4 linked regions of the Macaca mulatta genome follow. The protein of the gene in region 2 interacts with the protein of the main gene of each other region in a pairwise test. Links are inferred from orthologs where the notes say so. Each region holds a gene or a part of one and is shown on either strand. Other genes may lie near its edges.

The links.
Region 1: the proteins of TRIB3 (region 2) and ATF4 interact in binary tests that used the Homo sapiens proteins (3 or more experiments, as listed by UniProt). The link is inferred for Macaca mulatta from reciprocal best matches to the Homo sapiens genes TRIB3 and ATF4.
Region 3: the proteins of TRIB3 (region 2) and ATF5 interact in a two-hybrid assay, tested with the Homo sapiens proteins (2 studies listed by BioGRID and IntAct). The link is inferred for Macaca mulatta from reciprocal best matches to the Homo sapiens genes TRIB3 and ATF5.
Region 4: the proteins of TRIB3 (region 2) and APOBEC3C interact in binary tests that used the Homo sapiens proteins (3 or more experiments, as listed by UniProt). The link is inferred for Macaca mulatta from reciprocal best matches to the Homo sapiens genes TRIB3 and APOBEC3C.

What each region holds. Positions count from the first base shown.
Region 1 is NC_133415.1:12,021,341-12,025,221, forward strand, and holds ATF4 (cyclic AMP-dependent transcription factor ATF-4), read right to left. Parts: upstream 2,431-3,881; 5' UTR 1,757-2,430; coding exon 1,531-1,756; intron 1,430-1,530; coding exon 600-1,429; 3' UTR 517-599; downstream 1-516. UniProt on the Homo sapiens protein: Transcription factor that binds the cAMP response element (CRE) (consensus: 5'-GTGACGT[AC][AG]-3') and displays two biological functions, as regulator of metabolic and redox processes under normal cellular conditions, and as master transcription factor during integrated stress response (ISR).
Region 2 is NC_133415.1:83,776,372-83,780,617, forward strand, and holds the start of TRIB3 (tribbles homolog 3), read right to left. Parts: upstream 2,821-4,246; 5' UTR 2,488-2,820; intron 1-2,487. UniProt on the Homo sapiens protein: Inactive protein kinase which acts as a regulator of the integrated stress response (ISR), a process for adaptation to various stress. Inhibits the transcriptional activity of DDIT3/CHOP and is involved in DDIT3/CHOP-dependent cell death during ER stress.
Region 3 is NC_133424.1:62,391,934-62,395,921, forward strand, and holds the start of ATF5 (cyclic AMP-dependent transcription factor ATF-5), read left to right. Parts: upstream 1-1,153; 5' UTR 1,154-1,350; exon of another isoform or gene 1,351-1,484; intron 1,485-1,649; exon of another isoform or gene 1,650-1,816; intron 1,817-2,194; exon of another isoform or gene 2,195-2,382; intron 2,383-2,678; 5' UTR 2,679-2,818; coding exon 2,819-2,996; intron 2,997-3,988.
Region 4 is NC_133415.1:12,545,049-12,549,395, forward strand, and holds the start of APOBEC3C (DNA dC->dU-editing enzyme APOBEC-3C), read right to left. Parts: upstream 2,809-4,347; 5' UTR 2,701-2,808; coding exon 2,684-2,700; exon of another isoform or gene 1,962-2,683; intron 1,319-1,961; coding exon 1,162-1,318; intron 726-1,161; exon of another isoform or gene 356-725; intron 1-355.

The sequences.
Region 1 (3,881 bases), about 72 Mb from region 2:
ACGGAGGCCAACCCTCAGCTCCTGTCCTGCTTCAGCATCAATTCCGAAAAGGAGCCATTTCTTTCTTCAGGAACACGTTTCTACAGAACTCAGGGTAACAAGTGAAAACTAATCTTGTGTGCTTATCTCAAGGACTGTGCAAGCTTATCCAGGGTTTCAGGCGACAGCTGTTGGCATGAAGCCCTCTTGAATAAATAGGTAAGAGGCCCAGGCTGTCCCTCCCTCCCAACCTCTCAGAGAGCTCCAGCCTCCTCCCTACACAACCAGCGAACTCACCTCTGGGTAAAGGACCCAACTTGCTACAGTTGGCCAACTATCCGGCTGTATGGCCCCATGAGTCATCAGACATCGTGGCTTACACCTAGCAGGGCGAGCAGTTCCCACTCTGGGTACCCATCTTCAGTCCTGGACTGCCCTCCTCCCCAGATCTCACAAGGAATGTTATAACCAGTTTGGGATGCGTGGTTGGCGCCTCACTCGGCTAATTTGCCAGAAAAGGAATTCACACAAGTACTTTCCCTACAAAATAATTTATTCCAACACACAGCAACAGCAGAGACTCTATGTACAAGCACACTGACGCTCCTGACTACCCTCAACTAGGGGACCCTTTTCTTCCCCCTTGCCTTGCGGACCTCTTCTATCAAATCTTTCAGGTACTGGATCTCCTTGGCCAGGGAATCCGCCCTCTCTTTTAAAGCCTCATTCTTCTTTTCCAGCTCTTTGCACTCGCCAGTGAGGGCCTCCTGCTCCGCCCTCTTCTTCTGGCGGTACCTAGTGGCTGCTGTCTTGTTTTGCTCCATTTTTTTCAGCTTCTTATCCAGTTTCTCACCCTTTACTTTTGCTTCTACCATCTTCTCTCCAGGAGGGTCGTAAGGTTTGGGGCGGGCAGAGCCACAGAGAACACCTGGAGATGGGAGGCTCCTATTTGGAGAGCCCCTGGTAGACGGGCTATGCTGAGGAGAGCCCAGATAGGACTCCGGGCTCATACAGATGCCACTATCATTATCTGAGGGGGTGTCTTCCTCCTTTATGCACGGAGGGATCATGGCAACATAAGCAGTGGCATCTGGCTTCCTATCTCCTTCAGTGATATCCACTTCACTGCCCAGCTCTAAACTAAAGGAATGATCTGGAGTGGAGGACAGGACCCCTGGGGAAAGGGGAAGAGGTTGCAAGAAGGTGAAGGGGGCAACCTGGTCGGGTTTTGTTAAACTTTCTGGGAGATGGCCAATTGGGTTCACCGTCTGTGGGGGCTCCTTGTTAGTCTCCTGGACTAGGGGGGCAAAGAGATCACACGTGTCATCCAACGTGGTCAAAAGGTCATCTGGCATGGTTTCCAGGTCATCTATACCCAACAGGGCATCAAAGTCGAACTCCTTCAAATCCATTTTCTCCAACATCCAATCTGTCCCGGAGAAGGCATCCTCTGCAAAAGATTTGAATGACAGGGCCAAGTGAGTCAGATACAAAGATAACAGGCCCCTAACCCTAGATCCCACCCAGACGATGTGGTGGTGGCCCACTCACCCTTGCCGTTGTTGGAGGGACTGACCAACCCATCCACAGCCAGCCATTCGGAGGAGCCCGCCTTAGCCTTGTCGCTGGAGAACCCATGAGGTTTGAAGTGCTTGGCCACCTCCAGGTAGTCATCTAAGAGACCTAGGCTTTCTTCAGCCCCCAAACCCGACTGGTCGAAGGGGGACATCAAGTCCCCCACCAACACCTCGCTGCTCAGGAAGCTCATTTCGGTCATGTTGCGGTGCTTTGCTGGAATCGAGGAATGTGCTTAATTCGAAGATGTCTTTGTCGGTTACAGCAACGCTGCTGCTGAATGCCGTGAGAAGCCTGAATGGGAATCAGAAGCCAACTCCCATTAGAGGTTAGCTGGTCTGAGAATTTCATCTTTCCACTTACGAGGCGGGACTTCTCTAGTCCAGCCATCTATAGAGTCGGCAACGGGGCAGTTGCATCCGCCCCTCCCTGCTGCGGCTCAGGTTCCACAAAATGGACGCTCACGGAGACCAGGCGATTCTTCCACCGGCCACCAAGAGGAAGGCGCTCCGTCCCCGCGTCCAAATAAGGCCAGGGCGGCCGCGCCCCGCCCACCGCCCGCCCTTGACTCACGCCCGCGGCGCCGCCCTGCCGCCGCCATCTTGGTTCTTGCCACGTTTCGCGGGGGGGAAAGCCGAGACCCCTGGGACCCTTGGGGGACTCGGGGTCCGAGGGCGGCAGGGCCCCTGTGGAAGCAGTCCTGGCACCAGAATGCGCCTTCCCGATCCCGGGCACGCGAGCGTCTCGGGGACACCCAAGCAAAGACCACGCGTCCCGGGCGCTCGTAAAATCGCTTCCTCCTTGGCGGCACCGCCCCGGCCCCAGGCCGCACCCCACCAACCCAAATCCTGCGCCGGCCCAGGGAGCACAGCTGGACGACCCGCCCTGGTACTCACGCCATGGCTTAAGCCGCTGGGGGGGGTGCCGCTGCAGAGCCTGGTGCTGCTGCCGCCGCTGCAAAGGCCAATGCTGCCGCAGGCACTGCTGCCCCTAATACGCCATGGTGGCCGTGGACCCTGCGGGCGGGGAGGAGGGAAGGCGCACACGTGCAAACCAAACTACATTTGTGGGCGGACGAAGTAGAAATGGCCGCAGCAGCCGCCCGCCGGCCCTTTATAGACTTCGTCTCTAAGGGGACGCAGCACCGACGCATCCTTCCGCCACGGCCACGTGACCATCTCCTCCCGCCCGCTCGTTTCCCTCCCTTTGACGCCCCAACCGTTTATGCCCAGCGCGTAGCTGTGACGAGAAAAGGTGTTTGTTCTTATGACCTCACGAAACGAGAGAGGTGCACTACTTTACTAGACTTCTATGATCAGAGTCCGTTCTTTCCTTCGCCGCCGGAGCGCGGAGTGATCTCGCAGACACGCCTCGCTTCCGGTGTCGGCGCGGTGGGCGGGGAGAGGTCGTTTTCCGGCGGAGAGTTTTTATTGTGAAGGCCGAGGAAGCCAGGTTATCGCGCGAGGTGCTGGCGAAGAGCGCGCGTCAAGTTGATTGGCCCAGGCACGGTGAGTCATATATACCTCGAGCTCTTATTGGCTCAGGGCCCCAGGTGGGCGGCTGCTGGGAGAGGGATCACGGAGTCCGCGTGGTAAGGGTCGGGGTCTCGGGTCTCTGCCAGGCCTCAGGCCGGCCAGCCTGCTGGCCAGCTACAATCGCACTGGCTCCTGCCCCCAGGAGACCTTAGCCTAGCGCACCCCATAGTGGCCTCAGGGCCCAGCCCCTGCGGTCGGGTCCCGCCGCCCTCAGTGGAGGTCCGCCACTGGCGGCCCCGCCGCCACTCCCAGCCTGCGCGTCCTTCGGTTGCGGGGGCTGATTTCTGGCCTGCGGAAACCGGGGGGTTACCTGTTCCAAGCCTGAGTTTTCCAGAGACGCCATTCATAGCCGATACGGTGTTGCTGCCCCCGGGAGGTTGAAGGGGTCTCGAGAGGGCGCCTCGGGCCTGCCCACCTACACCCAAAGGCCAGCTGAGTCTGCATGGCTCCGTCTAAACTCTGGAAAGGAGCCGGGAAGACGCGCCGTCCTGTCTCCCAACCTGGGTTTTTACAATTCTCATCCGGCTCAAGTGCGAGGCTGCCACAGAATAGCATCATAGGGGAACTTCTGGTGTCCGAAGATTGCGTTCCCCTAAGAACAGAATTTTCTTCGCTGCCATCTACCTGGGGTAGTTTCGATTCACTCCGGGTTCTGAACTCCCCGGCCTAACCCGCTTTTCGGTGGTCATGCCCATGGCCCTGGGAGGAGAGGCGCTTGGGAACCCACGGCCACGTGCTCGGGGTTGTGCGTTGGGAAGGGGGGGTAGTCTGTTTTAATACAGGAAACCTCCG
Region 2 (4,246 bases):
CATGCAGGAAGTTGAAGTAGGGGAATCACTTGACCCCAGAAGGTAAAGACTTCAGTGAGCCATGGTTAGGCACTCTAGCCTGGGTGACAAAGTGAGAATGTCTCAAAAAGACAAACAAACAAAAAAAATGAAGTGTGTGAGTTTTGATTCAGCAATTAATCCCATTGCTAGAATGTATCCTGTAGAAGTGTGCTTGTGTAAGCATGCAAATACAAAGTTATCCTGCAGCCCTTGTGACAGAAATAATTTGCTGTCTATAATTACAGGGCTAGTTACATAAATTATACTTCATCCACACAACGGAAAAATTTGCAGCCATTTAAAAGGTTGAGGACGCTGTTTATAGCCTAATCGAAAGGATCTCCAGAGTGAACTGTTAAATGAAAAGAAAGCCACCATCCACGCAGCTGTGTGACTGTGTGTGGGGTGGCTGAAGGAGAGGGCAGTAGGGCATGTCAGGGCAGGAAGGTTCTCTCTAGAACCCATCTGCCCACCCACTTAAACTCCATTCCAAGGATGTGCATGCCCAGGTCTGAGCACTGGTGCGAGAGGGACCTCAGCCTGGTGAAAGACCTTCCCAACAGTTCAAGGCAGGATGAACAGGGAAACATGAGTCAGTTACCAGACAGAGGCCCACCTCTCCAAGTACGCGGCTCCTAAACGGAAGAGCTGCCTTGGAAGGGAAGGTCTCCCCACATGAGTGAAAGGTCATGACTTTGGCTTGGTAAGAACGCAGTAAGGAGTGGCTTAGTCAGATATTCCTGGGTTCTAATCCTGTCTCAGACCCTTTCTAGCTGGGGGGTACCCCTGGTCAAGTTCCTCAAGCTTTCTGAGCCTCAGTTCCTGTAAAGTGGGAACAGGATGCAAAGTTTACAGGTTTTTAGTGATGATGAAATGAAAAAACAAATGAAGCACGTAGAGCTTATAGACCTGTTGCAGGGTAGGTGTCAGGAAATGGTCACTATTAGCACTCATCCTGTTGTTCTTCACAGCAAGATGCTTAAGTACCATCCTTGGGAGTCTTAGAAAGCTCCCCAGGTTCGAGGCTGGGATGACAGAACAGTCTCAAGGCTGTTCTGAGTCCCGCAGGATGCTACCTGGCCGTGCACATGCTTTGTGCCCTGTGCAGCAGGAGACTGCCTGAAGTCCCTCTGGCCTGTGCCACATCAGTACTCCAGGCTGCCTTGGCCCCAGTCATCCCTCAGAGCCTGTTGGGGCCTGGGATAAGCTCCACCCAGATGGGGACAGATGGGGTAACTGAGTCTATAAATCTTGGGCAAGGCATTTTGCAGACCACACTGCAGAATAGAATCTGTGCTGTGGAATGAAAGCAGCCCCTAATATCTACCTCTTGCTGTTTCCTGCCATACTCGAGACCCAGGGAAATGAGGGCGGGTTACATCAAGCGTGCGCGCGCTCACAGGTGTACACACACCCCTGAGACACTGTCTAAGCCAGCCAGCGACAACACATCCAGGGAAGACAGACATTAAGTGACACACCCTTGCCCTCCACGGGTAAGCGTTAGCGCGCACACACACACACACAGCCCTCCCAGCTATCACACCCATGGTCTACACAAGCAAGGCCGGCCCCACCACCCCCCGCCCCGCCCCCCGCAGCCAGGCCCCCTTCAGCGGGAGCGAAAGCGAAAGGCGGCGGTGTCCCAGTCAGAAGTTTCAGCGGAAATTGAAGGGCGGCCCTGGGACAGGAGGGGGTGAGGCAGAGGGAAAGAGGTGGCTGTCGTCCCCCGCCCTCCCCGGTCTGCAGGCACAGCACACACCGCAAACACACGCGCACCTTCCACCTGCAAACCCGGAGCCACGCAGCGGGAAAAACCAGCGGCGCTGCCCGGCCGGGGATCCCGCGCTGCGACTTCGCTCCCACTCGTTCGGCTCCCGCACCACTCGCTCAGTTCGCTCCCAGGGCACCCCACCCAGCCCTCTCCCGGCCGTGTCCCCTGCACCTCCAACCCCTGCCACCAAGTGCCCAGCCCTCCAGACAGTTCTCACCATCCCCGGAGGCACAGGTCCCCGGGACCCACCCTCACCCAGAACTCTCTCCTACGGGTTCCCGAGGACCCCCGCAGATCCCCCGCAGATCCTCCGACACCCCCATAAAGAGTCCTCCAGTGCCCCCCACAAGCCCCTCACCTCACCACACGACTCCCCTGTCCCACACTCACGCAAAACAGACCCTCGCACACCCTCCTCTAGGGGTGACAGCCGGACACCTCCGTCCCTGGCTTCCCCAGCCAAACTCGGGCGACCCCACGCCCTGCGGGGCCGCGTCACCTGAAGCCCGGGGGGAGCACTAGGCCCAGGGTGTCCCCCGACGGCAGAGTCTGTTAAAAGGGGTGTTGTGTGTGTGCGCGCGTAACACGCAGCAACACGCAGAGGCGCAGAGCCTCCCGGCGCCCCTTCCCCGGCCGCCCGCTCCAATCCCCCAGGCTCCGGGCAAGTCCACAGTCCGCACCCCGCCGAGTACCTTGTCCTGCCGTCCCGCGTGGGTCCTGGCGCCGCCGGTGCTCAGAGCCTCTAGGGTACCAGCAGGTGGGCCGGCCCGCTTCGCTGCTGCCGAGCTCGGGATCCCGGTCCAGCTCCAGCCCGGCCCGGGTCCTAACAGCGGACGTGTGCGGAGCCGCCCCCACTTCCGCTGCGAGTCTCGTGCGCTCCCGGCTCCCAGCCTGGGTGATGTAAACCTGAGCTAATCAGCCGCCGTCTGATGCCCTCAGGCCCAGGATTGCACCATCCCCGCGCCCCGCCTCTCCGGGTCGCCGCCAGGGCGCGCTCCGCCAGGGCCTCTCTCCTCCGCTGCACCTGGGGACCCCGCCCTTGTTGGCCCACTAGGGTTGTCTGGTCTCAGTGCAGACACCAGCCACGGACTCTCCCTATCACCTTGGAAAAAAACATTTGCTTTTCTGAGCCTTACTTTCCCCACCTATGAAATGGGAAGAACATTCCTCCTTCTCGGGATGGTGCTCAAAAGAGCAAACAGTGACTGTTGTCCGGGTGCTTCCCCTTTTGTAAAGCACATTACCAGCACCGCCTTATAAAACCTTTAGGAGAAGTGGACATCTGGCAATCTCCATTCTCCCCCTTCTACTGAGAGCCAGCCTGAGGCCCAGCTGTGGGCAAGTGGTCCAGAAGCTTCAGGAAGGCCTATGGACCTAAGAGCTGACTCTGGGCTCAAAAGAACCACTGTGGCACCCTGGGGAGGCCTAAGGTCTGGTGAGCTTCCCCGCGTTCCTTTGCTAGAGGCAGTGCGGCCTAGTGGCGAAGAGCCCCTAGAGCCAGCTGGCCTAAGAGTGCACTCCACCTTCCCCTCCAACCCACAGTGCTACCCCAGAAAAGCTACCTAAAACCCTGCCTCAATTTCCTTTTCAATAAAATGGGCTCATAATTGTGCTCACTTCATAAAGTTATTGTGAGGATTAAATAATGTAATATGTGTAAGACGCTTAGAACAGTGTGTGGCACATTTCGGATGCTCAATGGAGTGTAGACAATGGAGACAGAGAGGGAAAGAGGCCTTTAATATGCTTGCACCCTAGGCCTGGGAGGGCTTGGTGCTACTTCCTTTGGGGTGAAACATCCCTCTGCGTCCCAGGGGTCCAGCACCTTTCTTAGAAATCCCTTTTGATCTGAATTCACTAGTGTCAAAATATAACTCCTCAGCTGGGCGAGCTGGCTCATGTCTGTAATCCTAGCACTTTGAGAGGCCAAGACGGGAGGATTGCTTGAGGCCAGGAGTTTAAGAACAGCCTGGGCGACGTAGTAAGTCCCTGTCTTTACAAAGAGAAAAAAATAGTGGGCATGGTGGTGTGAGCTTGCGGTCCCAGCTACTTGGTAAGCTGAGGTAGGAGGATCACTTGAGCCCAGGAGTTCAGGTTACAGTGAAACATGATTGTGCCACTGCACTCCAGCTTGGGTGACAGAGTGAGATCCTGTGTCATAAATAAATAAATAAATAAATAACTCCTCTAGAGGCCAGACGTGGTGGCTCACGCCTGTAATACCAGCACTTTGGGAGGCTGAGGCAGGTGGATCATGAGGTCAGGAGATCAAGACCATCCTGGCTAACACGGTGAAACCCGTCTCTACTAAAAGTACAAAAAATTACTAAAAATACAAAAAACACGCCTGTAGTCCCAGCTACTCGGGAGGCTGAGGCAGGAGAATTGCTTGAACCTGGGAGGTGGGAATTGCAATGAGCTAAGACCGTGCCATTGCACTCCAGCCTGGGC
Region 3 (3,988 bases), on a different chromosome or scaffold from region 2:
GAAAAGGACGCAGCTGGGGCCTCGATGTCTGAATCCCTGCCAGGGGATGGGGCCTGGGCACCCATCATTTGGAACGGAAGATGAGGATGGCCGGAAACAGACACTTCAGAGGAATGAGGGAGACAGAAGAACGACAGCAAGAGTTAGACAGTCCAACGTCTGCGGCTCTTGTAAGGGGGAAAGAAGAAGTGAGGCTGGGCCCCAATAAAATATGTTGAGGCCGGGCGCGGTGGCTCACGCCTGTAAGCCCAGCACTTTGGGAGGCCGAGGCGGGCCGATCATGAAGTCAGGAGATCGAGACCATCCTGGCTAACAAGGTGAAACCTCGTCTCTACTAAAAATACAAAAAATTAGCCGGGCGTGGTGGCGGGCGCCTGTAATCCTAGCTACTCTGGAGGCTGAGGCAGGAGAATGGCGTGAACTCGGCGGAGTTTGCAGTGAGCCGAGATCGCGCCACTGCACTCCAGCCTGGGCGACAGAGACCGAGAGACGTCATCTCACCAAAAAAAAAAAAAAAAAAAAAATTGAACAGGAACGTATGAGTTGAACTCTGTGCATAAGGCTTGCCAGACACCGTCTTGAGTTTCATAAACCCACCAGGAGAGCTGATTTTTCTTATTTTACGGATAGGGAAATGAAGCAAGAGAACTTAAGCTATTTGCCCGAGGCCATCCTGGTAGGTCTGTGTTTGGGAGAGTGCTGTGACTCACGCTGGACTCTAACCCACGAGGGTTTCTCGGGGTCAGCAGTTGGGGGATGAAAACATGAAAAGTGTGGCTGGCAGGAAATTCTGCAAGCAGGGAAAGGGAAACAGAAATTAAATGGTGCAGGTCTCCGGGAAGAGAATGAGACTGGATCCACAAAATCACAGGAGGAAGCAGGCCCAGACCTCACAGGCAGAAAAAGAAAGAAACCAGAGTTTAGGAGGAAACCAGACCCCGGAGCTACGAGAGGGCCGGATCCCTGGCTCAAAAGGGAGGAGGGGCCTGGACCCTAGGAGTGGGAAGGAAGAGGTCGGATCCCCTGATCCCCAGGAGGAGGGGACCGGGCTGCCACCCAGTTGGGGCCCCGCGAGGGCGGGGCGCGGAAGGATCCGGGCGGGCCATGCTGCGCCACCCGAAGTATTTCTGTCCCCAGTCCCCGGGGCCGCCTCATTCCCCGTCCTCAGATCACGGTCTCTTCTAACTACAGCGTTCTCCGCCTCCGCCTGCGTAGCCCCAGCCATGGCTCTGTAGCCTCGACCCCTTTGTGCCCCCAGCCCGACTCCGCGCTTACCACGCCTGCGCTCTCCGCTCCCACCTTCTTTCTTCAGCCGAGGCCGCCGCCGCCTCTCCTTTCTGCAGCCATGGAGTGAGTAACCGCTTACTTGTCCCTCTCCAACCGCCTTTCCCGCCCTTTCGCAGCTCGTGGCCCTCTTTAGGGAGCCCTGGGGGGAGGGGAGCTGCGAGCGGGGAATCACGGTCGCGCAGGCGCAGAAGAGGTACGGTGGGCCGAAGGCGCGCGGCTGCGCATGCGCACTGGGCCCGGAGCCGGGTGGGAGAGTTCTAGAGACTCGATGTTTGTCAGCCGGCGTGTGGCTGCGCCTGCGCACTCCAAGGGAGGGTGTGGTCTTTTTCTAAACGATTCTGTGCGTGCTTGGTTGTTCCTGCGCAGTAGCCTACCAGTGCCCCGTAATGAATGAGCGCGGGCCCTGAGTGTCCGCGCATGCGCACTGATCCCCAAGAAGGCGGAGGTGTAAAGCAATTGGACAGCTCGGAAGACGTAGCATGCGCTTTGGCCCTTGGCGCATAGCCGCGTGTGGACGGCTGGCGTTCGGGTAGCAGTTCTCTGCCTGCCCCCTCTACCCTCCTCCACCCTCCCTGCTCCACGTTGCTCTGGCTCACAGCCCAACTTCCTTCCTTTTAAACCAGGCACCTGCTGAGGCGGGGACTGGCTTAGATTGACAGGGGAGAAGGCGGGGCTTAGAGGCAGCCCTCTAAGTGGGTGGGGCTAGAACCACTGTCGTCACGATGGGTGGGATTTCGTGAGCCCATTGTGAGAAGGGGCGGGGCTAAGCCAACCTTTAGCTGAGGGGTGGGGCTTCGATGGGACAAAGAGGCGGGGCCTCTGGGGAATCGGAGAGGGGCGGAGCTAAATAAACAATGAGGGGCGGGGCTTGGAGGGACAGTGGCAAAGCGAGGAGTGGGATTTGAGTGGATAACATTGCTGAAGGGCTGGGGCCTGGGGCAGTTCCCCTGGGCACTGGTTTGGGATGGAAGCTAGGAAGGCAGTGGGGCCAAAAGGAAATATTTTAGGGCAAGGGGCGTGGCTGGAAGAAAATGTCCCTGGAATTGAGTTTTTCCATGAAGCGGAATATTCTGAGGTGGATGGGAGGGGCCTAAGGTAATTCCCCTGGGAGACCCTTAGGTTTCTGTATTGGGGGAAAGGGTGGGGCATCGGTCCTACCTTAGGACCTAAAGAAATTCCCTTGGGAGTGGGTGGGGCTCAGATTTGGGTAAAGAAAGGGCAAATTTAGAATTCGGAGAGGCTGAGGCTTAGTTATAAACTGTGGTTGGAAGGGGGAGGGAGGAGCCCCGTGGACGTGCCTGGGGGTGTGGCTTGGCTTCCCCATGATTTTGGCCGGTGGATGAGGCTTTCCTGACCCCACGACCCCACCCACTCTTGTCTCACACGTGTAGGTCTTCCACTTTCGCCTTGGTGCCTGTCTTCATCCAGCTGAGCATCCTCCAGAGCCTCGTCCCAGCTGCTGGTGCAGCCGCTCCTGTTGCCATCAGTGCCCTGCACCTGTGCTACAGCGCCCTGCACCTGTGCTACAGCCATGTCACTCCTGGCCACCCTGGGGCTGGAGCTGGACAGGACCCTGCTCCCAGCTAGTGGGCTGGGATGGCTCGTAGACTATGGGAAACTCCCCCCTGCCCCTGCCCCCGTGGCTCCTTATGAGGTCCTTGGGGGAGCCCTGGAGGGCGGGCTTCCAGTGGGGGGAGAGCCCCTGGCAGGTAAGGGCAGGTGGAAGGTGGAGCAGGGGAGTGGAGGGCAGGGGAAGATGGGGGAGGAAAAACTCATCCATGTATTCATTAAATGTTGAGTGCCTACAATGTGCCAGGCACTGTTTTAGGTGCTGAGGATACAGCTGGAAACAAGAAGAACATGGTCTGTGCCCTCCAGCAGCTCATACTGTGGAGAGTAGACCAGAGGCAAATTAAATGAGAGTGTATTGGAATAAGTCAGAAACACTTAGCAGCTGAGCTACAAAATGACAAAGGGGACCTAATTCAGAGTGGGTAGCCAGAAAACTTTCTCTAAGTAGGTAACATGTTGATGGAGGCATAAAGGATGGGAAGGAAGCCAGGCGTGGTGGCCTGTAATCCCAGCACTGTGGGAGGCTGAGGAGGGAGAATTGCTTTAGTCCAGGAGTTCAGGACCTGGGCAACATAGCAAGGCCTCATATCTATAGGGAAAAAAAAAAAAAAAAATTAGCCAGGCATGGTGGCGCATGCCTGTACTCCCAGCTACTTAGGAGTCTGAGGTGGGAGGATCGCTTGAGCCTGGGAGGCCTAGGCTGCAGTGAGCCAAGATGATGCCACTGCACTGCAGCCTGGGCAACAGAGTGAAATCTTATCCCTTAAAAAAAAAAAAAAAAAAGGAAAGGAATGAGCCAGGAAAACACCCAAGGGAAGAGCATTTTAGTTGGAGGGAACTGCATACGCAGAAGCCCTCAGGAGGCAGGAATCATTGTATTCATTACTGTATCCCAAATGCTTGGCACATCGTGGGTTTTCAGTAATTAATGAGTAAAGATGAAACAAGGTGTATCTGTGTGTAATGTGATCTAGTTTGCCTTTTAAGAACAGAGTAAATACAGACACCACAGATACAGAGTACTCAGTAAAGGAGATGTTGGAATGGTTGAAGAAATGCTTAATTGACTGTTGGTTGAGTCACTGGTTGGTTGGCTGGTTCTGTCTTTTTTAATTTCTTTTTTTATTTT
Region 4 (4,347 bases), about 71 Mb from region 2:
GGAGTCTTGCTCTGCCACCCAGGCTGGAGTGCAGTGGCACAATCTTGGCTCACTGCAACCTCTGCCTCCCAGGTTCAAGCGATTCTCCTGCCTCAGCCTCCTGAGTAGCTGGGATTATAGGCATGCACCTCCACACCTGGCTAATCTTTGTATTTTTAGTAGAGATGGGGTTTCATCATGTTAGCCAGGCTGGTCTCGAATCCCTGACCTCATGATCTGCCTGCCTCAGCCTCCCAAAGTGCTGGGATTACAGGCATGAGCCACTGCACCGTGCCCGGCCCCTTCCTTCTTTATTTTATTGAGTCTTTCCCTGTCTCATAGACTTATGTGTGAATTCTGCCATATTTTCTCCCAGCTATCCATTCACCAGGCATCCTCAGCCCCTGCTATGGCCTGGCCCTCTGGGGTCTGCCTTGGTCCCTGCCTGCCTTCTGCTGAGGAATCAGGGCAGTGGCAGGGGCGGCCCCACGAGCCCAGCAGTGACTGGCCCAGACACAGAGCTGGACACCACACCCCCTGCTTCCCACAGCTGCTGTTTCCCGAGGACTGCCGGATGTACAGCTCCATGACAAGATTTTGGGGAACAAAGTCAAGAGTGAGGGTGCTGGGTGCTAAACAAGGCCTTTTGGGAAGAAGCAAAACCCCTCCACAATCTGATCACAGGAGAGTCAGGGAGGAAGATCTGGGCCACGGACTTAAAAAATGTGGGGAGGAGGCCAGACATGGTGTCTCACGCCTGTAATCCTAGCACTTTGGGAGGCCAAGGCTGGTGGATCACTTGAGGTCAGGAGTTTGAAACCAGCCTGGCCAACATGGTGAAATCCCATTTGTACTAAAAATACAAAAAAATTAGCTGGGTGTGGTGGCAGGCACCTGTAATCCCAGCTACTTGGGAGACTGAGGCAGGAGACTCACTTGAACCCAGGAAGCAGAGGTTGCCGTGAGCTGAGATAGCGCCACTGCATTCCAGTCTGGGTAACAGAGCGAGACTCCATATCAAAAAAAAAAAAAAAAAAAAAGAAAGAAAAAAGAAAAAAAAAAAAGACATGTGGCAAGAAAGTACACACAGGAGAGCCCGCACCAGGCACGTCACTTATTGTGTTTTCTGCATTCCCAGCTGCTTAGCTCCTATTTGGGGTGCAACTAAGACTTTGGTGCTACCTGGTTTCGGAAGACGCCCGTCTCCCAGGAGACAGTTGAGTGCTGCTTTATAACTTCCACGGTGAAGCACAGCCAGGTTTCGTTCCGATTGTTGGCTTCCCATAGGTTTTTAAATTGGAAGTAGAATGTGCCTGGATCCATTGCCTTCATCGGGTTTCTGAGGGCACAAGAGAGAAACCCCAATGCAGAGACCCCCCCCGCCGGAGTCCTGGGGGCTGATGCCCACTGAACACCACTCCCTAGACGGCCCTGGGCTCTGGGCCTCCCCCATCCCTCCGCAGTCCTGAGAATGTCTGCTGCTTTCCCAGGCAGGAAGACTGGGAGAGAGAAAGAGGAGGCGATGCTGGCAGGGGCAGCAGGGCTGCAGTGACCTCTCCCATCTGGAACCCCAGCTCTGGGGCTACCAATGGGACACCCTCAACCTCCCAGTTTTTCTGCCACACATCTCCCAACCCATTAGGAAAATGCAACAGACAATAAAATTCTTCACCCTGAAATAATTGCTTGAACATTTCAGCTCAGTTCCTTCCTCCCATTTCACCTGTCCGATGATGATATCACACCGAATTCCCCAGGCCAAGGCTACCTTTATTTATTTATTTTTTTTAAGATGGCATCTCGCTCTGTCCCCCAGGCTGGAGTGCAGTGGCACAATCTCGGCTCACTGCAACCTCCGGCCCCCGGGTTCAGGGATTTTCCTGCCTCAGTCTCCCAAGTAGCTGGGATTACAGGTGCCCGCCACCACGCCTGGCTAATTTTTTGTATTTTCAGTAGAGACGGGCTTTCACCATGTTAGCCAGGCTGGTCTCGAACTCCTGACCACAAGTGATCCACCCGCCTTAGCCTCCCAAAGTGCTAGGATTACAGGCATAAGCCACCGTGCCCTGGGTAAAATAAGGGTATTTGTCCTAATCATCATATTTTTTCTACATTCCATGTTACCAGGGTCATTTTAAAAGGGGAATGGTGCTCACGAAGGAGGAGCCTGTGTCTGGGGTCATATGCATCCTCCTCTGTTCACACTGGTGGCATCTTTGGAAGAAATGCCTTATTTTCTGGTACAGAGACCATTCCCTCCCCCACACCCTCTCCTAAGACTTTATATTGAAACAAAGTAAATCTTACAGAAATTTCATCAAAGTGCTGAGAACAAAATGTCGGATTGACCCAATCATCCTTTGGTTCAATTCTCCCAGTTCCAGAGCTCAGGAATGGTGGGAAGCGCACAGAGGGAGCACCCTCCCAGGGTGGGGAGCACCAGCCCGCTGGTGACTTTCTGGGGAGAGTCTCAGCAGGGGGCCTGGGCTGGTGCAGGTGGGGAAGGTGGCCCATTCAGAAGCAGCAGTGGGGCGACCACACAGCAGGGCAAGGAGCCTGGCTGGGAGTGTCGGCGGCGGGGGAGACAGAGGGGAGGGAGCCCAGAGGTGGGGCTGGGGCAGGGGGAGGCCAGGGCTGAGACCCAGCAGGACCACCAGGCAGGAAGGGGCAGGAGGGGCCTGGCAGACAGAGCGGGCAGAGGTACCTGATCTGTGGATTCATGTTCGGCCTCTTAGATACGCTTGTCCAGTCCCACTCTTTTCTGAAGTGCTGTGGCTTCTCTTCCCGTTTACAGAGTCCTTGCAGTTGGGCAGCCCTCTTTAAAGTGACCTCCCAGGGCCTTGTGAGTCATGGCCCCTCCCCGTTCCTGCTCAGGCACTGGTGTGGGAGACCCTGGGGTGCTTTACGTTTCTCTGACTCTGGCCCTCTTTCTGGTTTTCTTCTGGCCCCTCCCACTGGCAGAGGAAGCTCAGACAAAGACAGGCTGCTCTGTCTTTATCTGTCTTGGGCAGGACCCAACGGAATTGCAAAGAGAAAGAAAGAGAAAGAGAAAGGCATTGCAGCCAGAGCCTGGGAGGCGGGTCCAGACCAGGCTGAGAGAGGGGCAGGTGCCCCCTTGTCTGGTGGATGGACAGGCTGGAGCCCCCTCTCCACCGCCCCCTCCCCAGCCCTAATGTGTGCCCAGAACTTGGAGCAGCACCTCCCTGTTGAGTGAGGGAGGTTTTGAGACTCCAGTGGGGAAGGAAGTGTGGACTCCGCACAGCACAAGTGAAGGCTTAGGTGTGCCTCAAGTTCCCAGCTGTGTGCTGGGTCCATTGCATGCCTTCCCTCTTCCAACCTCCCAGCTTCCAGAAGGTGGGGCGCAGGTCAGCCCCTCAGAGGTGTGGGTGGAGGATGACCCAGGTGCTGAGGCAAGAGACTGAAGGCACAAACTGTTTCAGTATAGTAAAGAATATACTTACAATAAGAATAGTTATAATACAAATTAGATGTAGAGATCATCATGGACATTATCAATCATTAGTATAGACATTAATCATTAGCTTTTAATATTACTCTTTATTACTCTTTAATATTACACTCCTTTATTAAGAGTAATATCAATATTATTATGTAACTGGTGGGTATATGGTCAAGTGCTGAAGGGATGTTGTGAGAAATGACCGAGAATACAAGAGGTGAGCCCTCTGTCCCACCTGCGTAAGGGCCGCTTGAAGGCTCCTTGGTCAAGCGGTGACGCCCCTGCCAAGAGAGCACCCGTTACTTAGCAGACCGGGAAAGGGAGTCTCCCTTTTCTTGGAGGAGTCAGGGAACGCTCTGCTCCACCCGTTTCTTGTGGGAGGCTGGATCTTATCCAGGCCTGCCCGCAGTCATCCGGAGGCCTAACCCCTCCCTGTAGTGCTGTGCTTTAATGGTCACGCTCCTTGTCCACTTTCATGTTCCTCACGTACTCCTGGTTCCTCTTTGACGTTCTTAGAAGATAGCGGTAGAAGAAATAGTGAAAGCCTTGAAGTCTTTGATCTTTCTGATAAGTGCATAGAAGAAAACGCTGACGTACGCTGCCTTCCCTCTCTGCTTTGACTACCTGTAGGGAAGGGCCCCCTGTTCTATGATGACGTTACTTGCTTGACCTTATCAATCACTTGGACGATTCACCCTCCTAACCCTGCCCCCTTGTTTTGTGTGCAATAAATAACAGTGCGCCCAACCATTTGGGGCCACTACTGGTCTCCATGTCTTGGTGGTAGTGGTCCCCCGGGGCCCAGCTGTTTTCTCTTTATCTCTTTGTTTTGTGTCTTTATTTCTTACAATCACTCGTCTCCACACACGGGGAGAATACCTGCTAAGCCCCATAGGGCCAGACCCTAC